Caenorhabditis elegans: one gene and its partner. The protein of the gene in region 2 purifies or fractionates together with the protein of the main gene of each other region. This does not show direct contact. Each region holds a gene or a part of one and is shown on either strand. Other genes may lie near its edges.

The links.
Region 1: the proteins of H29C22.1 (region 2) and F47G3.1 fractionate together in Caenorhabditis elegans (co-fractionation; one large-scale study listed by BioGRID). This does not show direct contact.

The regions. Positions count from the first base shown.
Region 1 is NC_003284.9:2,379,510-2,394,103, reverse strand, and holds F47G3.1 (Bravo_FIGEY domain-containing protein), read right to left. Parts: upstream 8,352-14,594; 5' UTR 8,297-8,351; coding exon 8,150-8,296; intron 6,915-8,149; coding exon 6,666-6,914; intron 6,615-6,665; coding exon 6,504-6,614; intron 6,456-6,503; coding exon 6,287-6,455; intron 5,530-6,286; coding exon 5,246-5,529; intron 5,197-5,245; coding exon 5,105-5,196; intron 4,965-5,104; exon of another isoform or gene 4,809-4,964; intron 4,625-4,808; coding exon 4,534-4,624; intron 4,492-4,533; coding exon 4,174-4,491; intron 4,126-4,173; coding exon 3,787-4,125; intron 3,604-3,786; coding exon 3,508-3,603; intron 3,360-3,507; coding exon 3,279-3,359; intron 3,230-3,278; coding exon 3,097-3,229; intron 3,008-3,096; coding exon 2,928-3,007; intron 2,003-2,927; coding exon 1,913-2,002; intron 1,870-1,912; coding exon 1,803-1,869; intron 1,731-1,802; coding exon 1,507-1,730; 3' UTR 1,217-1,506; downstream 1-1,216. Other genes in the region: F47G3.4 (TIL domain-containing protein), read right to left, coding at 11,812-11,964, 12,021-12,133, 12,457-12,514.
Region 2 is NC_003284.9:9,305,777-9,315,567, forward strand, and holds H29C22.1 (uncharacterized protein), read right to left. Parts: upstream 5,550-9,791; 5' UTR 5,537-5,549; coding exon 5,341-5,536; intron 5,162-5,340; coding exon 4,920-5,161; 3' UTR 4,849-4,919; downstream 1-4,848. Other genes in the region: tmc-2 (Transmembrane channel-like protein 2), read left to right, coding at 1-78, 123-238, 293-430, 578-847, 893-1,088, 1,472-1,529, 1,578-1,827, 1,975-2,100 and 11 more; ttr-38 (TransThyretin-Related family domain), read right to left, coding at 6,924-7,073, 7,961-8,091, 8,568-8,712.

The DNA of each region.
Region 1 (14,594 bases), 6.9 Mb from region 2:
AGCTCGTATAAAAAAGAAGAGGGAACATGAAAAGTTCTGGAGCCCCACCTAGCCCCCCGCTGCAAGAAACATTGCTAGTTTTGACGTGAAAGAAAATTGTCGATGGTGGTTTTCGGGGGCACCACCCAGAAATAAGGTTCCCTTTCCCCTCCTCTCTCATTCTCCATCGCCTTCTTTCCACACAGGGTCGATTTATGCGTTGCTTACTGCCGTCTTCATGTGACATTTATTCACACAAATTTGATGAATTCTACTCAAAAATTCCACGGAATCCTGATAGTAGATATCAGCTCGCCTAGATACAGGGTAACGACATGTATACACGCGTCGTGTGTACATGAGCGTCGTTGCGAAATGTTGAGAGAAAAAAAAATGAGGCACAGGAATACATGGAAACACTTTTAGATCAACAAGTTGTAACGGTTCGGGGAATTTTGAACGGATAGATTCGAAATGTGCTAAAATAAACGAATTTTGTAATGATATATCTAGAATAAAATTTTTAATTTTTTATGGCGGTTCAAAATTTTGCGCGAAAGTTCAGAAATATTTCAGCCTTTTCAAATTCGTTGGAAAATTCAGAAAATTTTTATAAACTCGTTTTAGATTCATTTTTAATACATTTGAACTGTTTTCAGTCGTTTAGGGCAAAACCTACAGAGTTCAAAATTTCGAAAAAAAAAGTCGAAACATTGAATAAAAATAATTTAACCTATCGCATTTTATGCAAAATTGAAAAAATTACTAAAAAATTCAGAAAAACTATATAAATTGGTTCAAATTTATTTATGATATATTTGAACCGTTTTCCGTTTCTTAGGGCAAAACTCCATCTATAAAAAGACTAACGGTTCGGGGTATTTTAAACATTTGTGCCCAAAATGTGCTTAAATTTCAGTGTTGAAGCTGTTCGAAATTGACTTTTTCGAATTAACACCTTGAAATACAGTGAGATAAAAGACCAAAATATGAGAAAAAATATGATGATATTTCAGAAAAAGTTAATTTCCAACCGCTTCAATACGGAAAAGTGACCGAATTTTGAACCGTCATAAATTTTGTTAGAAAAGTGTGAAAAAATAATAGTGTAAAATTGAAACGATATCAATTTTCAATTTTGTCCTCTCAATTTTGCAATTATTGTTTAATTTGGTAAAATGAAAATTTAAATAAATACTTTTCAAATTCCAAAAAAAAACACATTGCGAAAGTTAACACGGCGGTTTCACGTTTTATTTCCTTCAAAACGGGACAGGTGGAATTACGTAGTAAATTGCTAAAAAGAGAAGAAGCTCTCATCTGAAGTGAGTAGGAGCCCCTGTTGATGTGCACATCACCAACCGGATGTTTATAATCGCGTTATACGAACGCAACCACTTCACTTACTCGGCTCCATATTTACAGATTTATCTTTCAACCGAGGCGGGGTGAGCAGGGGAAAAATATATATATCATTATTAAAAACGCAGTTATACACGTATTTGATGAACCGATTGTCAAAAACAATTACAGAAAACAACGAGCCAGTAAGATGAACAGTAGGGATATTGGCAAGGGAATTGAAAATATCAGTGAGGATGTGGAGGATGTGATAATATTCTGTGATATTGCATTAGTTGCATCGACTGTCAACGGCTGTGTTTCACTACAAACGAGCTCCGTATCATTGATAAACTTTCTTGCTTCCACATCAAAAGAGTCTAAGATTTGTTCCAGTTTTTCATCGTTCTCTGAAACAAAAGTTGTGGGTAATAATTCTTTACTCTCTTTGAACTTCTGTAGCTACAAAAAAGTGCACTTACCTAAAATTGTGATTCTAAATATTGTGCATCGTGTTTGATAGAGTTCCCTTGTATAATCAACTTCTACCTGTAAATATATGTGCAATAATATATTTTCAACTTGTTCATACCTTGAATGACGGAACTCCGGCTTTGTCAGAAATCTTTTGCTGCACAGTAGACAGCGAAGTATTGGTGTAAACCACCCATCGGAAAGTTGCCTGGAAATATGCCGTATTCCCAATATAGGGGCGCTATGAGCCTAGTGGAAAATAGTCTTGCACGAACTTGCCGTGGGGTTAGACAAATTTCAAGATATTACAATACATTTTTCAATTGACAAAAATGCTTAAAAGTGTACTAACGGTTTTCGGTATTTTGAATGTATAGACTGAAAATAAGCTCAAATTAACGAATTTAGTTTTTTGAAATTTTTTATGGCGGCCCAAAATTTTGAAAAATGGTTTTATTTTGGCATCATAATCCAACATTTTTAGATAATCGAAAATTTCTAATTGCTTTTTAAATTGCAATAAATTTCCAATAATAAAAGATTTTTTCTCACGTAAAAATAGAGTATTCGAGTATAGTTTTGAGATTGTGAATATTTAAAAAAAACACTTATTTTTGTTAGAAAATAATTGGCATCTAATTACAAATTACTTTTTTTTTGTAAATAATCGAACATTTCTAAATTATTAAATTCACAATAAATGTCACGTAATAAATAAATAAATGTCCAGAAAAACTAGAATATTCAAGTATAGTTTGTAGGGTACAATTATCAAAAATTACTGTTTTTTAAAGATAACTGACATCAAAAAATCTGACATCAAAATCCAATTGATTTTTTCAGAAAATCAAAAAATTCTAAACAGTGTATAATTTTTAAATCACAATCAATGTCACATAATAAAAAAATCTTAAAAAACGAGAATATTCAACGATAGTTTTTAGGTTACAAATATCGAATTTGTCACAAATATTTTCCAGAATTGAAAAAAATAATACAAAATTTAGAATTTTTTAAATTAATTATTTTACATTCATATTTGGTATCTTGGGACTGTTTTCTGTCAATTAGGGTAGATTTATTTTATTTTTTCTTAGGGCCCCTTTTGGTTCCTTGTTTGATTTATTGTTTACCTCTGAGACTTTTTTAACTGGGTAACAGCCAATCTGGTTTGGGTTCTTGATCGATTGCAGTCTGAGTGTCTTGCCGATTACTGCAATAAAATAGACGGTAAGGCGACATCAACATTTCATGACTTTTTCACACGCTTCGAATTCCGCCTCCTATGAGTGATACACATACCTGAATAAGGGCCGGATAGCGGAAAACCCTGAGCAGTTAAATGCCAGCGGGCGTGCATTAGCAGCGGCTTTGAGCGGTTTGAAGCACTTCCGATGGGACAAAACTCATATCGCTGACTAGTGCATTCAGATTCCTGAAATTATGTGAATGCAAATGTGATTTCGGAAAAAAAAACCACTCACATCTACTTGTAGCGGATTAAAAATAACTGCAGAGCTGCAAGTTAGGTTTTGATCGCTCACAATGTCCCATGTCACTGATTCCTGAATTTGGAGGATAAATTTAAAAACTTTATGAGGGTATTCAAGTGCATTTTCATCCTTTTTTGCCATTTTTTGTAGCAAAAAATCTGAAAAAAAGGGATAAACGCACTCGGAACCCCATTATTATTTTCAAAAAAAAGTAACAAACCGGGTTGACTGTGGGGTCAATTTGATTCATGTACTTCAAAGAATAATAGATTTCAGTAGGAAATCCGGATTCCCAATTCGATTTTGTGTATTGTGTCTGAAAATTTTTTACCTTACAGTTGGAATACCTAGTCAACGGTGTTTTAATAAAAAAATTACTACAACATTTTTGGAATTGTCATTCGAAAGCTTGCAAGTGAGTGCAATTATTTTTAAGAAAAACTTTTTTACTAATTATAAGAAAAAAGTATTTTTTTTCGTGATACACTATTGAGCTCACCATTTTAATATACCCATCAAAAGGATGTCCAAGTTCAGCAAACGCGACTGTCCTTTCACTGGGCGGTTCAAAGTGTCCACAGAAAACATCCTTCCCTTCCTTGAGGAGAATTGAAGTGCCAAGCATACTCGTCACGCCGGTGACAAACCGTTCGTCAAAAATCACACTGGAATCGTTTTCGTGACTCATGAAATTTTTCTTTAGTTCTTCAACCCAAGGAAGTTTTGTGACGCCTCCTAAATTCTGTTCTCCACATGGGGGACCACTTGTGATACTCCGATCGAGAGGACGGAAATGTGCTTGAACGTCGGAGAATTTTTGCTTTTTATTAATCAGAATCTGGAAATGAAAAGCTACAACTTTTTTCAAAATTAAAATGAATCAGACCTCCGTATAATTGTTGGCCGGATATTCCAAAGCCACAAGCGAGGCGACGGTAGCCGATGAAAACGGAGCGACTCTTTTCACCATGGCATGCATTGTGAGGGCTCCGGAAGGCAAAACTGTGAGGTTTGCGCAAACTTTCATCCATTCGAGATCAATTATGGCAGACTTCATGTCTGATATGTTGAACCAGTTGAAAACTCCAGTCATTGTCACTGCTTTTTCATTTTTGCCGACCACGACGGCAGCGTTTTCAACTTTATGACAAGTTTCGCACGTTGTATGTGCACAAGATGTCGATTCAGCAGTTTTGTTGGATATCTAAACGAATAATATGTCTTCAATCTATTGAATGGATCATACCAACACAGTTGCACGCGTGGACATTTCATCAAAAATATTTCGAATTTCCCCAGTGAGCAAAATTTTGTCATCTGTATCAACGAGTACAATTCTGAAACTTTTATGATTGCTTAAAACATTTTTTTCGAAAATTTCAACCACAACTGTAATTTAAAAATAAAGCAAATTTAAGAAGTGTTTTTAGCCAAACTTAAAATTTTTGTAATGTATTTTTAGAATTAGGACAAGAACACTTGAAAGGAACAAGTTTATCGAGTAAGCTTTAGTTTTGCATCTGTGTAAGTCTCGTAGTTTTACCTTAATTTATCGGCTGTTATATAGTTCGGCGAGAAACTCGAAAAGTGTCGGCCGCGGCAAAAGAACCACTTTTTACACTAGAGGCCGGCGTGAGACGGGCAGGTTGGAGGCAGGCGTTAAGCTCTGAAACCGCGCCCGCCTCCCATGGAGGCTCTAAAACTCCGTAATTGTCACTTTTTCACTGTCAATGAAAAAATTTCAATTTTTTCCAAAAAGTTTTACTGTTTTCAGTAGTATTTAATAATTTCCCCACTTGCGCTAATCCTACTATTACCTTCCAATTACAGGGTGTATGAAGTTGGCAATTGCAGCCGGCCGAGCAAACTGTGGTCGGAGCGCATTACAAGAATTGTTCAAAACCAGACTCTGAATAATGTTATTCCAGCAATGAAATGCCACTAGACACCGGATATACCTTTAACATAATTGATTCGGATCCGAAAATATTAACCGAAGGATAATAGCTCAAATAGTTTTTATGCACAATCTCCGTCGAAATATCTAAACAATCATCCCTAATATGCAACTCTTTCGGTGGAGATTTCAATCCAATAACTGGTTCAAAATAGTGTGTCTGGCGAAGTGTGACTCCAAGAGATTTGAGTATTCTCGGTTCCACATTCACGATATCAGCGCATGCAAATATTTTGTCTTCGCGATATAAAGCCAATGATTCCAAGGTGTAGTTTTCCGGAAGTGCTGAATAAGAAATATAAGTTATGTAGTTGGTTATGATCTTTGTTTTCATCCATTATCACATTACTTTCTCAATTTCTTAGAGGAAACAGTACAGAAGACACAAGGAACTTGATACGGTTATTTTTTGGTGGACTTTTTGTGGTAACATTGAAGGAGGATTAATGGTTAGAACGCTTTTGAAAATCTAGACTTAAAATGTACCTAAATGAACGAGTTTCGTAAAGAAACTTCTCAAATATTTTTCATGCCGGTTTGAAATTCCAAAAAAATTACACTGATTTTAGCTAAAATCTCGAATTTTTCCCACTTTTCTGTGTCAGCTCGAAGTTTACTTTTGTGGAATTATCATTCTTAATGGTATATTTTGGTATATTATATCATTCAATTACGTTTATTAAAGCACATTTAAAACCAATAGGTAATCAATTTCAATGATTTTTGGCTACCTGATGGCTTTCAATGTATTGTAATAAACGGAATCAAAAGAGATAAACTACCAAAATATGCAAAGAAGATGATTATTCCGTAACAGTCAACTTCGGGCAGATGTGACACAGAAAAGTGGGCAAAATTCGTTTTTTAATTTTAGTTAAAATCAGTGTAACTTTTACGAAATTTTGAACCGGCATAAAACACTGTTGAAAAAGTTTTGAGCAGTTTTGTTACGACATTAGTTCATTTGATCACATTTTGGGTCTATTCGTTCAAAATCGTCCGAACCGTTAGTCCTCCTTTAAAAAAAATCAATAAATCTTACTGAAAACAAAAGTCGCTCTCGAGTCGACACCAACTTCACTGTAGTCTGTTAGTTTGGTAGAATCATTCAATGCTGTACAAGAATCCACAAATGCCCAAGTCATGATTTTCTTCTCCGGTTCAACGTAGTCATATTTTGGCATATACTTGAGATCAGGTACCAGGCGAACCTAAAACAAATTCCATGCATTTAAAAATCTTCAAATTTAAGCTCATACTGCATTATTTTTGATCGGAATTATATGAACATGTCCTTCAATCGGTTCCTGGTGAAACGAAGCGTGCATCAGTTCTTTGCCAGGTATGATAACTGTCGCGCAAGCCAGAACCTGCAACTATTCTTGCAAGAACTGTCCACAGCAATGATTGGTGACCCTCACCTCGCTGTTATCACCGGAAATCACCAACGTGTTGCCTGCCAGACCGTCGCCAGCGATGGTTGAATCTGTGACCGGCATGTTCTTCACGACGGGCGGACTTTTCTTTACACGCCGGCAATTATCAGTCATTACAGCCATGTCGTAAGGAGCGGATGAGGTGTGTACTGCCCATACCAAAGTATCATTTGGTTTCTCTTTAATGTCGAAACTAACAATATAAGTATCCCCATTCTCATCAGCTGGTGATATCTGAAACTTTGAAAATAAAATCGTTAAAATCGAAACTAACGGCAAAGGAAGGTCTTCAACGCATCCTTATCCCCCCACCAATCACGTGTGTGTCTTCATCTTTTTGGTCGTCACAGATTAATCACTGATTGGAAATGATGGAACATTTCACGGTTGTTAGTCTATCAGTCTATCGTAGGAGAATAGTTATGATCTTTTTAATTTGGGTCAATGTAGATCCAAGACGAGGTACTTTCAAGACGCACTAGTTTGACCTATTGTTTTTCTGTCACAGAGGTTAAAATTTAATGGACTTTTTTTTGTTGGAAAACATGTGACGTTTATTTTCTAAACCTTTCCGTTTACGACTTGTTTTGAAAAAAAATCATGGAATGTTATTGTTAGACCAAGTTGAAAATGGAGAAAGGATATCAGATTATAGTTTTTACACTGTCTAGTAGTGGGGAAAATGTTGAAAACCTATGATCCTATAGCGCCAAAACTTTTCAAAAAAATTTTGAAAATGATTTATTGACAAAAACTTTTGCCACTTTTTAAGTGTACTGTCGCTTTAATATTTGTACTGTCGCTTTAATATTTGAGCCATATTTAAGCCCAGTCGAATTTTTAGTATTGCTTCACTATACTTGAAATTGTCTGAAAACGACGAATTTCATAACGAAACTGCTTGGAAACTACTCACAAAAACGTTATCGCGGCTCAAAAAATGAAAACCTAACTCGATTGAAAAGGCAACATAATTAACTTGTAAACCCAAAATTAGAAGGTGATTTCAAAAAAAAAGGTCACATCCGCTGCGACATTCACATAACTTTTTTTTGAAAAGTTATCAAAAAGTTTCATTTTAAAATTTGGGTTTTTTCAAATAATTTCAAAAATAAAGCGATAAAAAATAATCGACTACACCATCATGATTTGAGTTCAAATTTTTTAAAAATTTCTTTCTATAAATTGAATTTTGCTCCGGGAAACGTGAAAAATACGATTGTTGATATCAATTTCTAAAACGAAAATTCTTGTTTCTCGTTCCCTTCTTGATATGATTGACAATAGAAATTGGAAACAACCTTGGAAGGATTGAAGAAACACTAGAATAAAAGGGATGATTTACACTTCGATCTTTTTTTTTTCTTTCCATTTCGACCCCAACTGAATCGAATCAACTCGCACAGTCACCCCACACGCAAGATAAGACAACTTCCTCACACACAAGGCGACACTAATACGATACTGACCGTCAAAAAGCCTTTCAGCTTTTCCCCGTATAGAAGAGTTCTGTAGGACGTTGATATTGGAGAGCATTGTACAAGAAGCTGGATAGATGCGAGAATACATGCAATAAGTATGATGAAGCGGGTAGGTGGGACAATAAGACTGTACATATTATCAGCCGCTATCCGGCTGCGTGATACACTCGGCGCCTTTGTCGAAATGTGTGGTTAGACGGTGGTGACGGCGGCGGCGGCGTCGACGACGACAGCAGCAGCAGTAGCGGGGAGAAATCGGGCAGAAATGAGAGAAGCAAAATACTAGGGCGGGAAAGAACAACCATTACTCATTACTCATCTATTCACTTTTATGTTTTGAGGCCTAGCTTTTCCAAAGAAGTGTCTCATAATTTCTGATCAATCATTTTCTGGACACATGTGACAAAGTCATGTTTGGTATGCTTTTCAATCATTCGTTATCAATGCTAATTGGATAAAACAACATTTGATTCAAAGTCTCAAGAATCCAATACGTGTTTTTTTTCGGATTTCTGATGACTTAGAAAATGCAGAGAAGTCCAAAGTGAAGTTTGTTAAGTTATCTCAAAAGCAGGACGCCCAGCTAGTTTGCACTTTTTTTTGTTGAAAAATTGTCCAGTTAGTTAAATTTACTTTCTTATTAGAGGTGGCAATATGTCTTGAGTCGAAATTCATGACATTTTTTATTTTATACCGATTTTTTGAAATTGTGGGAAGTTATGTTAGCAACCATGATTTTTATTCGACGATAGTCACAGAAAAAACCTTGCTAAAACGAAATAAAAAACTTACGAAAAAAAAGCATTTAAAAATGTGGTGCTTGTGTATTATACTCCTGTCATTTTGGAAATTTTTTTTTTATTTTATGCGTGAAATGCTTTTGTATTTTAACTTTTTTGGTTGTCAAAGAATTCTCAAAAAAAAAATTTCGTTCAAAGTTAATGATTTTTTATACAAAAATTGTCACAGATATGTCACAGATTTTTTTTACATAAAAAACATTTAAAACGTCGAAATCGAGGAGCTCAAAAAAAAAATCAAAAATTACTGAAAGAAAAAAAGTGTTTTTGAACTAATTGTTTTTATTGTATACTTACACGTTGTTGTGTATGCAGAAAAAATAAAATGTTGTGCATGCAGAAAAAAATTTAATTCTTCAATTTCATTTATATTTTGTTTATTCATCTAGTTGTAAAGGTATAATCAAATCAAAGAGAAATACAGTATAAAATGATCTTGACTAACAAACATTTAACAAACAATTATATTCATACATATGTAACACGGAACACTTAACAACTGGGGTATTACAAGTTTTGCAAGTTTAAAACTAGAAAAATAAAAGATGTATGACATTTCGGGTAATTATACATGGATGGATTGTAGTCTTGGGATTTGAGCATCCATCTACTCCATTTCGTTGTCCCACCAAACTGGAATATTATTATTTGAGAAATCGTCAAAAGAAAACATTTCTACTCACCATTTTGGAGCCGGGAGTTCACACCGGACGCTCCAAAGATACGTAGTCCCGATGGTTTCGGTTGTTTCTGAAGTCTCTGCAGCCGACGTCGTGGATGATGGGTGTGTTCTTTTTTATACTTCATGAACTTGAGCAGGCTGCGTTAGAAGTGCTCCCGGAAGATTGCGAGACTTTGCAATCGGCACTACATCTCCACTCGTTCCAGTCCTATTTGTGGTTCCATATGAATGTTGAGAAGATGACGGTTAAGTGTTGAAGAGGTCCTGAAGTGCATACTGCTGAAGTTGCACGAGAACATACCTGAAAAATTCCGATGAACTTGTTTCAAAAATCTATAAAAAATAAAACTAACCTCGGGTTGGATCAGAAGTTGAAGCTTGGCCGGTTTGTTGTGCACATTTTCGCCTTGAAACTGCTCCATTTTCATCGATATCCGGAATGAGAAGTTGATTGACAATAATATTATGAGTATCGGTTCCTTGTTTGGACAACTCCTGAATATGTCGTTCGGCTTGAAAATCGGCCATACAGATGCAGACGAATAAGGTGCAGTTCTGTAAATAAAAATTTGAATACTGTGCAGAAATTTTGATGATTTGAAATCTCTGAATCCAATGGATCAAGCTAGAAGTTGCCCTTGATATAATTGTAGAGATCCAAAAACAAGCATATTACCCAAACGCAGAATTTTGCGCACAAAATTTGATACCAGGTCTCGACAAATTTTCTATGAAAAGCAGAAGAAACGTGCGCCTTTACTGTAGATTACTGTAGTTTCAAACGTGTTGCTGCATAATTTTTTTTTTGGAATTTTTATAGTTTTTTATAAAAATGTGTTTTGCATTTAACTATTGATGAATTCTGCAGCAACGAGAGTTTGGAGTTATCGTATTCTTTAAAGGCTCATACATTTTCGCACGTAACTAACATTTTTTTATTTCCGTGCCAAGACCAGATACCGTACTTTTTGCGCCTGGGTGATATCTCTCCGTAATAATTTTAAAAAGCACTTATACATTATCTGAAAAACTAACAAGATCCTTGAACTGTGCGTTCATCCTTTCCAAATCTTTCACTGCAGCTGTCATCATCGTCTCAAGCGTTTCATCATCTTCCATTTCAAACATTCCACCGATGTTATTCAACATTGGTTCTAACATTCCTTGAAGTGAAAGAATTTTGGTAAAAAAATTATCAACAATTGTTGGGAATTGAAGAAGACGAAGAGTGTGCCCAGTTGAAGCAGTGTCGAAGACCACAACGTCGAAGCCAAGAGAATCTATCAACCTGAAAAAATACTATATTAGAAAAATCAGAATCATTGACACTAACTCTATCATTTCCCCGAAACTTATTGCCTAATCGATCCCAGGAAATCCTCCAGCAAAGCTTTGAAGAAAGTCTTTTTCCATCGAGAATCCACCGCTTCCACCTTCGTTTTGTGCAGCATTTTGGAACATTTTTTTGATATTTCCCATTTCTACGCCTTCTCCATTTGAATTTGAATCAATTTCCATCGCGAAAAGATTTTCGAATCCTTCGACCAGTGTTGGAGTTTGAATGAATTTCTGGCTAAAAGCATCCAAAATGTTGTGAGCTGGATCGACTGAGAAGAATTCTTCCACGACTTTTTGTGTTGAGTTGAGCTGCCAATGAGCAACTGAACGGCTTCTTTCCGACACCTCTCTTTCCACCCACAAAAATCCATTTAAGAGTTTTTTGTTTCAAAATATGATTGATAGAGGCTTCCAGTGGATCCGGCATTCTGTCTGGAAAAAAGTATTTATTGTATTTGTAAAAATAATCAAAATGATTTTAAAGCTATAACAAGGAACTGGAGAAATACAGAGAGAAATTAATGGATTTTTTTTTTTACTTTTTGCAGCTAAATATGAGAATGATATCACTGTACTTGAAAAATCCAAACATTTCATAAAAGATTAACAGAAAAGCAAAACAGCAAAAAATGCGATTGAAATTACAAATACGACGAAAGCGCGCAACGTGTGGCACTAGAAACGCGCCAGCAGCCACTTGACGCTCGATTGGTGCATTTCCATCGGAAGAGGCTGTGTTGCGCGTAGCTGTATATATTGCTTTATTGAGGATACTTTCAAATCAAATGAGTAATTTATGATCTTCATTGTTTTTTTTTTTGCAAATAAAATTAAAGAACATGGGCGTCACGGAGCTTATTCAATTTATTGCAGGTCTCTCTGCTCACACATCCTTTGTTTTTGTCATTTCCATCCAAATAAACGTGCCCTTCTTTACACATGCAAGCCGGTGGTCCACATCGAAGAGAGAAGCAGCTTGATACCTAGAAATAACTCAATATCTATGAACAATATTTGAAAGGGGCGTGCTTCAATGTACCGTTTGAATGTTTTGGCAACTTTTATCCGGGCAAAAGTTTGTGCATTCCTTGTAAACGGAATTCTTCGGGCATCCGGAAGAATGAACCTCTCGTTTTATCTTTCCACAACTTGCTGAAACCAGAAATATATTTTTAAAATGCCGAAAATCAATACCCAGACGCAACATTTTTCGCTAAAAATAAGGTACCCGGTCTCGACACCACATGTTTTTTTAATGCAAAAAGGTGTTGCACCTTTGAAGAGTAGTCTATCTTCAAACTCTAGAAAAACATGCACATAAAAAGTTATAGAAACACTATGAAAAATTGATGAACATTCCGCAACAAAGACAAGTGGAAACTACAGTAATCTTTAAAGGCGCACGTCTCGTGCGCAGACCGGGTACCGTATTTTGAGCGCAAATTTTCGTGTCTGGGGTATTAATAGCTTCTCACCGGTCGAAACTAAAACTGTGATGATGGAAGTGGCAAACAGAATAACATGAAAATTCATCTGAAACTTTAAATTTTTATTTATTTTCTAGACAGTCAGTAAAATAAAAAATAGAGGAGTACAGCTGACGAGGGTTTTGTTTCAACGCTGTTATAATAGTACAAATTAACAGATAGGCGCTTCCTGTTATTCACATTTTTTTTGGAAAACAGGAATAACAAGCTTGTCTAGACGAAGAACTCAAAATTTTGAAATTCCTAAATTAAACAAAATTGGCCTATTGTCTGCACTGAAAGAGCAATTTAAAACAGAAAACCTATCAAAAGTTAGAATATTTTATTTAGGGGAAAATTATAAGGCGGCAAAAAATTGGGTTACAAAATTTACAAAATGCACACTGAGTTTTCGAACGGGGACATACACTCTAGAGAAAGCTTAATGTTCAAGAAAGCACAAGCAGAGTGAGAGATTAATTGGCTTGTTTTTCTTGAAAACTGATGATGGAAATGAGGAAGAAAATAGAATTTTGGCACGTTCGATATATCAAGGTTGAACTATTTTTTAAAATAAGAAAAATGGGGATGTGTCTCATGATCGGGTACAATTTCGAAAACACACAAAGTGATTGAAGAAGGTGGAGAAAGAGAGAGAGCAGAGATGAGAGAAGTGAGAATGTTTAGAGAATCAAAAACTGACGGGACTAGTTGACGTTTTTTTTTGACAAAATGAATCAGTATTGAGACGCTTGTAGTTATTTTCTGTTCGATATACATATTTCCAGATAATGCTCCACTTTGAAATTGTTTGAAATTGTTAACTTCAACGTAGTCTTGGAAGAATGCCACGTTACGGGGGGTGAATTTCAGATATGGCGTCACCAACTGATTAAAGGTCAACTGCGGATATCTTTTGAGTTCCCACTGTAAGAACCAGGAAAAATATAATAATTTTTTTTTCACTAAAAATAGTAACTCTGGTAGTTCACTAAAAATAGTGACTCTGGCAGTTCACTAAAATTAGTAATTCTGGCAGTTCACTAAAATTAGTAATTCTGGCAGTTCACTAAAATTAGTAATTCTGGCAGTTCACTAAAATTAGTAATTCTGGCAGTTCACTAAAATTAGTAATTCTGGCAGTTCACTAAAATTAGTGACTCTGGCAGTTCACTAAAATTAGTGACTCTGGCAGTTCACTAAAAATAGTGACTCTGGCAGTTCACTAAAAATAGTAACTCTGGTAGTTCACTAAAAATAGTGACTCTGGCAGTTCACTAAAATTAGTAATTCTGGCAGTTCACTAAAATTAGTAATTCTGGCAGTTCACTAAAATTAGTAATTCTGGCAGTTCACTAAAATTAGTAATTCTGGCAGTTCACTAAAATTAGTAATTCTGGCAGTTCACTAAAATTAGTGACTCTGGCAGTTCACTAAAATTAGTGACTCTGGCAGTTCACTAAAAATAGTGACTCTGGCAGTTCACTAAAAATAGTGACTCTGGCAGTTCACTAAAATTAGTGACTCTGGCAGTTCACTAAAAATAGTGACTCTGGCAGTTCACTAAAATTAGTGACTCTGGCAGTTCACTAAAATTAGTGACTCTGGCAGTTCACTAAAATTAGTGACTCTGGCAGTTCACTAAAATTAGTGACTCTGGCAGTTCACTAAAATTAGTAACTCTGGTAGTTCACTAAAATTAGTGACTCTGGCAGTTCACTAAAATTAGTGACTCTGGCAGTTCACTAAAAATAGTGACTCTGGCAGTTCACTAAAATTAGTGACTCTGGCAGTTCACTAAAATTAGTGGCTCTGGCAGTTCACTAAAATTAGTGACTCTGGCAGTTCACTAAAATTAGTGACTCTGGCAGTTCACTAAAATTAGTGACTCTGGCAGTTCACTAAAAATAGTGACTCTGGTAGTTCACTAAAATTAGTGACTCTGGCAGTTCACTAAAATTAGTGACTCTGGCAGTTCACTAAAATTAGTGACTCTGGCAGTTCACTAAAATTAGTGACTCTGGCAGTTCACTAAAATTAGTGACTCTGGCAGTTCACTAAAATTAGTAACTCTGGTAGTTCACTAAAATTAGTGACTCTGGCAGTTCACTAAAATTAGTGACTCTGGCAGTTCACTAAAAATAGTG
Region 2 (9,791 bases):
ATTTGCGCAATGTATGTGTTCTCAATATGGGCCATTATGCAATGCGGAACTTTGAAAGGAGAACACTTTTTTGCGCAGGTTAGTAGTTCTTAGATGCTCAATAACACTATTAACTTATTCAGAATGCCACTGCTATAACCATTTCTCTCATTACATTAGTTTTCCCGAATATTTTTGATCTGCTGGGTAAAATTGAAAAGCTACACCCGAGAAATGCATTGAGGTTCCAACTTGGAAGGTATGTTTCAAAAAAATTTGAGCTTATGGAATTTGAGTAGAGGAATTTTTTCAGAGTGCTTGTTCTATACATTCTGAATTACTACACTCTGATTTATTCATTGATGTTGCAATTGGAGCATTTGCAGAAAGAGAAAAATGCCTCTGATAATCCAATTTCTGCACTTGGCCATCCAGGAGATGCAATAGGAAGGTTCGTGAGGTTACGCTTTTAATTAAACGGTTTCAAATAATTTATTGTAGTATGATAAGAATGGTTTGACTATTCTTTTTTTTTAAATAAAAAAACAGGAAACCGACGCTGCATACCTACAAAAGTCACTGATATAATTTATTCCAGAACAATACGTGAGACAGTGTTGCCTCGATATCCGGTAGACAACAATCCCCATACATACTACTCCTACGCCCCAGTTACAACAACTCCCATCCCTGCAACCAGTTCGTGGACAACTGTGCTTCCCGACTTTGGACCATTTGGAGTGTATAACCCGAAAGCATCAGTCACTAAGGACGATACAGTTTTCTCTTCTCCAGTTGTAGAAACGCACATGTTTGGACCAAACTCAGACTGGAATGAGACAACTGTGAATGCAGCAAGCCCAACGGGGTAATATAATTATTTGTTTTCTAATTGTAGGCATAACTTTTACAGAGCCACAACACGTGCATCACTCCGTATGTCTCAAGGAGGTCTTTGTTGGGAAACAATCATTGGCCAAGAAATAACAAAACTTGTGACAATGGACTTGTACATGACAGTCGCTTCAATTTTTCTGATTGATTTTCTTCGTGGTTTGGCATGTCGATATTTGAATTTATATTGGCCATGGGATTTGGAGAGAACATTTGTGAGTTTTTAAATTAATTTAGTCTGTATTGATTTGCTGTGTTTAAAGGGGCTCAAGACCATACCAAGTTTGGTGTTTCTGAAGTGTTAAGGACTTTTGGGCGATAAATAACTTAAAATATGGATTTTATTCTCTTTGCACATTGAAAATTGCTGTGACATTGGCAAATAGGTAAAATTTCAAATTTTAAATAATTTTATTTTAACTTATCATTTCTTAGGCCGTCATAACTTTTTTGAGAATTTTTCAATAAGTTTCATTATGAAATAGGGTGTTATTAGACAATTTTGATTCTAATAAAGCAATAAAAATAATTCGACTACACCATCTTTAACCACTGCTCACATACTTTTATTCAACATTTTATACATTTAAAATTTCAGCCTGAGTACGGAGAATTCAAAGTTGCTGAAAATGTGCTTCACTTGGTAAATAATCAAGGTAGGACAGATCAAACATTGTCTGCAAATATGCTGTTGCGTTTTTAAGGAATGATATGGCTCGGGCTCTTCTTTGTTCCACTTCTCCCAATGCTGAATAACATAAAATTGATTATCTTGATGTACATTCGAGGATGGGCTGCAATGACGTGCAATGTTCCGGCCAGTCAAATCTTTCGTGCCAGTCGTTCGTCCAACTTTTTCTTTGCACTACTAATACTGTTCCTATTCCTCTGTACACTTCCAGTCGGATTTGTTATAGCTTCAAAAACTCCGAGTAAAAGTTGTGGTCCATTTGGGTAAGAGTTTGATAAATTAAAACTTCAAATAAGTTTAATAAAAATTCAATATTTTTACATCTGTATTTTAAAGTACATCCTTAATATAAAGAAAATTGGGCTTAGCGTATATTTTTGAAGGTTCCCAATCACATATACGAATTTCAGAAATCAATCATTCTTCTACAGTGTCATTACTGATGTTCTTCATGAAAACTTAGACAAAACCCTTGTTAATGGTATCAAGTACAGTTTGTCTCCAGGAATCATTATTCCAGTTTTAGTACTGTTGTCGTAAGTTTTAAAACATTTGTAAATTTTTAAGTAGCTAAAAATTCCAGACTGGTTATATATTTCCTCATTGCAATGGTTACCGGATTATCACAAGCTAATCAAGACCTGTCATTTCAACTTATGGTGGTATGATTTTTAAAATTGTTTTATCAAAATTTAGTCCTATTCGAAATTTGACTGTCAAATGTAATGCAATGAAACATCACACTGAACATTTCCAGGAACGGACAGAAGAGAAGAAAAAAATCTTTGAGCTTGCCGGGGGAAAGAAGAAAAAGAGCAAAGACAACACATTTGGAAAACAAAAACCAAAACAATTACTACCCCCACCAACAAAAGGAGTTTCTTCTGATGATGATTCCCAGCACAATAGATCAACTGCTAAAAGTGTATCAGGTCGCCAATTTGTACCTTCATTAGGATCAGTATCAGAAGTTGATCACAGCACCGGTGAAGAACAATCTTCTGATAGTGAATCAACAACATCGTCGCTTCCGCCAAAGTTATCTCTTCGTCAGAGGTTTTTAGTATGCATTGGCTGGGCTGATCCAAATAAATATGGGCGACATGATGATATTGAAATGGAAGAAGGTGGTGGAAGGCTTCGAGAATTATCAACTGGTTCCGAAACAGATTCAGATGATGAGGATAGCGAAAAGAGGTAGTTTTTTTTATTCATATTTGCTTTTTTTCCGGGCCATTTTTTTAAAAGTAGTTTTCTTAGAAAAAATTTGTACTCGGATTTAAGTGTCACGTAGTTCCTCTAAAAGTTAATATTTTCAGAAACTCCGAAAGCAGATATCTTCTGCCACCCGACGGTTCTCGTCCAGCATCTAGAGAACGATCAGAAAATCCAAGTAAACGAAGCTCACAAAGTAGAAGAACAAGGCAAGCATCAATTATCACAGCAATCACTATTTACAAAATAATTATTTTTCAGTAATCGTGACATGTCCTACCGTACAGCTATCCAATCATTCGATCAAAACTCACAATCCGCATCAGCGTCTTCATCAAAATCTACTACTACTGCACCGTCCAATTCTGAAATGAGAATGTAAGTTTGATTGAAGGAAGACGTTTGGTTTGAATATTGTGAGAAGTTTTCGAAACGAGCACTTTTAATTTGCAGTGAGATCACAGAAAATCCACTTCACACTTACATCACACCTTTGCGAATTGAGAAAAAGTTTGTTATTGGTTTTATAACTGCTCTTATCACCTATGTTATACATTTTAGGAGCTCTGCTAGTTCATCAAGTAGCTCGCATCAGCCATCATCTTCAATTGAGAAACAAGCTGCAAGGAGGCTTCTGCAGCCAATTAGTACAACACACAATATTCGATATGGGTAAGGAATAACAATAACTTTTGGAAACCTGTTTTCACGACTTGATATTTTCAAATATACATTTCTCATTCAGTGCCTGAAATTAGCATTTAAAAAATATTATATCACTTTCTGAGCTACAGTATTATCACTACGAGCTTCACTTTGTTCGTTCATTGTTTTGTTCTGGATTTTTTTACTGATCGTATTTTTATTTCAAATGGTTGGCAGTACGTGATCAGAGACACGAAACAGGAAAATACATCACGTTTTGTGAAAAAAGACCTTTCAGATTCGATATTAGGTTTTTGACCGGCAAAAATACTTTGGTAGCTTAAGATAATCATTATAAATATTTTCAGAGTTGCTACGGTAGAAAACTCTTCCCAAGATCCAACTCGTCCTCCATCAACAGACGATTCACTTGGCGATCCTGCACTTCATGAACCACTATGGGCAAATCTGAATCCTCACAGCAGGTAGAAATGAAAAACTATATTGAAACTTTATCAATTTACCATGATTTCAGCTACACCTCTGCAATGATGTCTCCAATTATGAATGAGGTTATGTCAAATGATGAGACAACTGATGACGAGAAAGGGCGTTTGATTCCTGATAGGTAGGAAATCAGCAATACATTTTCTAATTAAACATATCGTTACATACCTTTTGCAATGTGTTAAATTAACAACTTCAGACCACCAATCCCACATTCACCAAGAGAGTTGAAAAGACTAAAACGTGAAAAAGATCAGCAATCAGAGAGCGGAAGTAAGCCGAGTGTAAGAACAAGTTGTCGTGAATACTATTTAAAGATATTGATGTTTCAGACTCCTCGACCACCTCGGTTTAGGATATCTATGTCACCTCCACGAAAGCCGCCTTCCGAAAAGAATGTAAGTAATTGGGAATAATGAAACAAAACTAGTTGTATTCATTTATTTTCAGGACTCTGACAGTTCGAATCGCAAGTATGAAATGAGAGTCGAAAAGTCGCCGAAAAAACCAAAAAAATCGGATAATGATTAATTTTTGTTGTCTTCTAATTTCATAATTAATTACTGGGTAATGTCCTATACCTTGGCTGGTCTTTCACATTTTCTATTGTTTTATTTTTAAATTTTAAAATCGTTCATACTTGGTGGTTTTTCAATGCCAATGCATTTCCAAACATTGGCGACAGAGTCTGTGATGTACATTTTTTAAACATGATGAATAAACATTTTTCATTCATTATTTTATTTTGTCTGCAAAATATACAATAATGGAAAAAAGCAAATTGTCCTCAAAATGTTAGTTTTTCTCAAAGGCGTGTCAGCAACTACATCAGGTAGATCAATACAAACTTTGTGAAAATAATTTTCTACCCGAAATTGGCCACTTTTGTCTTTTGTACACTTTCTCCTTTTCTCCTTAACATCAAAATATTTATAGTATCAATAAACACATTCGATTTCGTTTAATATCAACTAAGTTACACATTGAATTAGCCATTTAAAGGAATATCTATCGGACAAGTGGTCTCGGTTCCTCGTAATAGTTTCCAAACTTTGTTTTGTTCATCTTCAGTCATAATAAACTCCGCATAAGTTGGCTCATCTGTGATTCCATCGATAATCACATCAAATACTATGCCATTTGCCATTGATGGTCTGTCGATAGCTGTCAGTCTTGTTGCATTGTAATCGTCCGGGTTCAGAGTATCAATGATATAATCCACAGTTTGTTCTGAAATTTTTTTGTTGACATTTTCAAATTTTTTGTCAATAATTTGTTGAACAAACACAATACACGTAAATTTTGCACAAATTAAAAGCTCACAAAAGCCCAATCAAAACATTGGAGATTACTATTATATTTAAACGTTTTGACATGTTTTTTTGATAGCCGGTTTTTGAATATCTCACCTTTGTTATACCGTTCTTCTTTACATGTTTTAAACTCAAAGTTTTCATGGAATAACTCTGGAACGTCATCGTTGTTTTCAAGTTTAATTGCTGCTCTGCTTGCGTCCAAAAACTCTTTAATTATTTCTTTATCTGGACGTATTGCATTGACAGTCGCACCAAAGAAAAGAAAGTAGCAAAAGAATAGTGGGATCATTGGATTTTTGCCTGGTTCACATAACAACTGTAGCTGCTTTTATTCGATTCGAAATGTTTTGAGAACAATACATCTTCAAACAATTGAATGATGTCATCGAAATAAATTCAGAGCTTTTGGTTCCTCTGAACACACAAAAGTTAAACTACAAACGAATCAAAAATATGTGACAGAGAGAATTCAATGCAAGTTTGTTTTAATACACGAACAAAAGCGTTCAATTTGTTCGTTTCTTCCAATTATTTTTTGACAGTTGATGAATTCGTTTTATATTACAAGTCTAGGTGTCCCTTTATTTTTTCTGACTTTCATTTGCATTTAATCATGCGTGTTTCCTCAGGTATACGTACCGTAATTTTTGTCTATAGGCGCTGCAATTTTCTCAACTTTGGCTTCTTATATCGGTTGTCTTAATGAAACATTGTCTACCTGCGCACATTTCTCCAGGTTTCCCAAACCGCCCGCCTTCAAGGATAAAATGACCGAAAAATATTATGTTTTTGTTTCAACCCTGAACAAATTAAGGCCATTTTCGTAAAATAGAGGCACAAAAACAACGTTTGATCCCAGATGGATAAGCTGAATATATGTTTTAATGTGATATTGTTATCTTTCTCCCACGTTTTTAATTATTCTAAGAACTAATCAGAAGCGATGTTAGACCACAAGATAAGTACTCAAATCTACAAGATTGGAGCGTGAGAATGTATCAAAAATCTATGTTTCGAGGTTTTGATCCAAAACATCTAAAACCATAGCATAATGTGTTCAAAACCTAATGATGTCACATATTAGCTAATAAGGATTTATTTGCGTTTGATCTAAAGGATCATCCGTTCCTAAAATTTCCGGGTTGAAAATATGCATAAATTCATTCTATGGATGATAGTCACAAATCAGAACAATCAAATTTGTATTGCTCTTATTACTTACTGAATTAAATTAATTTAATTAAGCAGAAGGGTACAATTTCGTACAAAAAGTAACATTTTTTCCAAAAAATTATGAACTTCGAAAAGTTTTCATCTGAGAAGAAGTGTGATCGGGAAATAGCCTGAAAAAATTGGCTCAAATTGGCTCCGAGTGAGGACACTTTGGGGAACCAAACAATATTTTGACTGTTATCTAATAAAAGACTATGGCTGATAAAATAAATTTCCACAGTTTCGCAAAAATGGATAAAAGACGAAAAAAGTTATGATTTTTGACACGGAACTTATTTGGAGGCCTAATAGTCCAGTTTTAACCACCTCAAAAAAATGTTAAACGTAATATATATAATATAATAACATTTTTATCAATAATATAAATCCAATAGTGATAACTTCTTGGAAGATCATCATTCTCACAAGAAAAACCCACAGGAAAATGGGATACACGTGCCTATTCAACTGAATATCCTGTCTGTACAAGAGCGTTGTTCATCTGGATAACGGAATGCCATGTTCATAGTGCCTGCTTCAAAATAATTGTTGACTGTAGTACCTCGACTAATGTACGTAGATGGGACACGTAGACTGACTGTTCGTTGACAAGGCTGAAACAAATAACTTTAAATGATCGAGCGAATTAGAAAAAGTGGATTCACAAACAAAGTGACTCAGTAATTTTGCGATATACTCAAGGAATTAAACGATAAATTTAAGTAGGCAAGAACGTCTAGAATAAAAAAATCACTGTTTTTTTTTGGTACACGATCTTATTCTATGGTTGCTATCAGGGATGGCTTCACCCGTGACCCGTTTCACCCGTTCACCCGTTTTTAGCCATTTTTACGGGTGACGGCACCCGTTTTTTTTTGCCGTTTTATGTAGTTGTTTTCACGTGTGACGAGTGACTCGCTCACCTGTTTTCACCCGGTTTTCACCCGTTTTTGGGAGTTTTCACGGGTTACGGGTGACCCGCTCGCCCGTTTTTTTGAATTTTACGGGTAAAATCCATCCTTGGTTGCTATCACAAAATACCGTTGGACAAACGGTTACCAAGAAAACTAGAAAACTCGCGTTTTAGGTCCTGTAAAGAAGTACGCCAAAAAAATAGTTCCCAGCCCTAATTACTTTAACATATATTCAATTTTATCTAGACCTTTTTATTTTATTAAAAGATTCTTGAAACTTAAATATTTTAATCCCTATCTAGTCAGAAATTTAAGTTTTCTTGAAAAATATATAAATTTCTTAGAAATTTGCATCTAGGGGTAAATAAGACTAATGCAGTTTTATTATTTTTTGTGTTCAAGTATTTCTTGGTACTTTTATTGACAAGTCTTTCGAAATAAGTGTTTTTCTTTTGAAAATATTCTTTTAAACAATACATAACAAATTTGGAACGTATGTTTTTTTTTTCTATAATGAACTTTAGTTATCTGTAAACTTTTCCTTTATTTTTCTGACATTTTTTGCCAGTTATAGAATAAAAACTTACAATAACTTTATCGTCACAATCATGAAATATTCTCAAAAAAACGCTCATTTCAAGAACGCCTCTTCCTGTTCCAATGACCACATAAGATCCTTGGTAGTCGGTTTTATTTTCGGCCAAGATGACATCGGGACCTAAAAAGTGTGGTCAGTTGAATTAAAAATTTAGTTGACATTTATTTTTAACTTTTAAATTCAAATAGTAGGAATCGAATTTTCTCTCAGAAAAAAAATATTTCAAGTACGGGAATCTATTTAATTTTTTTGCCGTCTTACATTATAATAATTCATATAGGTGACAATCTTACAGAAAAGAAGAAAATAATATGAATGAGGACCATAAAAATGACCTAAGGCTCTGAAAGTCGAATTGGAAAGTATCACATGTACTGTATGGAAAATACCTCAAAGTAAAAGGGTAAATTATATTTCCTTTATAAGGTTTTTTTTCTGTTGTTCGTTGTTGAAAATTATTTTCACAGGTGGGACTGTTAAAAAATGAAGGGATCAATTTTGAGAAAAATGCAAATATGGCTAAAAACAATTCTTAAAATTGCCATTCACAACTAAAATGTTGCATTAATTTTGTACAACCATCTTGATAAACTTACCTATATAGTTTTTCTCTATCAACCGAACTGTTGCGCCTGCCAATAACCGGTTATTACAAGATAATTTCCCTCGCACGCCTACAATTTGGTCTCGAAATGAAAATGCCAGCGGGAAAAATAAAACGAAAAGGATTTGTAGTTCCATTTTCTGAAATTGACAACTGAGTGATGAAAGGGAAGTGTAAAGAATTCCGAGCAAATAATGTTAAGACAACGGGTATTAGCAAATATCGTTACAAGTTGAGTATAAAAAATAGGAATAAGATTTTGTGTGTTTCATACATTTCAGAACTAGGCACCGATCCCTGCAATTATGATGAAATATGGAAGTCAAATAGAGAGTGGGTTAAAAAAAAAGAGAAAAAATAGAAAACATGGTGAAACGTGAACTTTGAAGTATAAGGTGTGAAATAATCTTTGATATTTTAAAAAGAAATCTCAAATCGTTAGTACTGATTCAAAATATGTATTTTCCCTTGCTTGCTTAAAAAAAATAACGCAAGGTCGTCTATATGAATGAATAAAAATCGTTAACCAAACGAATATAGATCTTTGAAAATTGATGATCTTTTGGATTCGCCAAACATTCAGAACATTTGGCATTGCGAAACAAGGCTTCAGACTGAACATAGATATGAAGACAGAAAAATCAAACTTTCAGTTGTTCAATATGTTTGTCTACGGTCTGATGATTCACCTGGCATATATGTATTTCCTGACGTTGAAAAAAATTTAGTCAACAGTAAAACCTTATAAAATTTACTGGAAACTAACTACTGCTTAAACTATTATCTAATTAAACTATTAAACTATTAACATTTTTCACATTGAAAAAGGTAGTAAATTATTTTGAAACACAGGATAAAGAGTTTGCAATAATTATACAATAATTTCAACAAATGTATGATGTACTGCCCATTTTTTTCTTTTTTTTTCAAATTTTAATTCTGTAAAATTTTAGAAAAAAATGCCCTATGATTTTACGTTCCAAGTTTAGTTCCAGTTTCTCTCATACAAAAACTTTTCTCATTAATGATCAGTTTATAGAAATAGATTAAAAACAAGTTCTCAAATATTCAATAATCATATTTATTCCGTATATACCGACGACCAAAATGTTAAAGTACAATACAAATTTGAAAAAAAAAGATCAATACAAAATTGAGATTCCGGGACAAGAATGAGAAAAATAAAACCAAAGTCAGCGGTTTTATTGACCCAAAG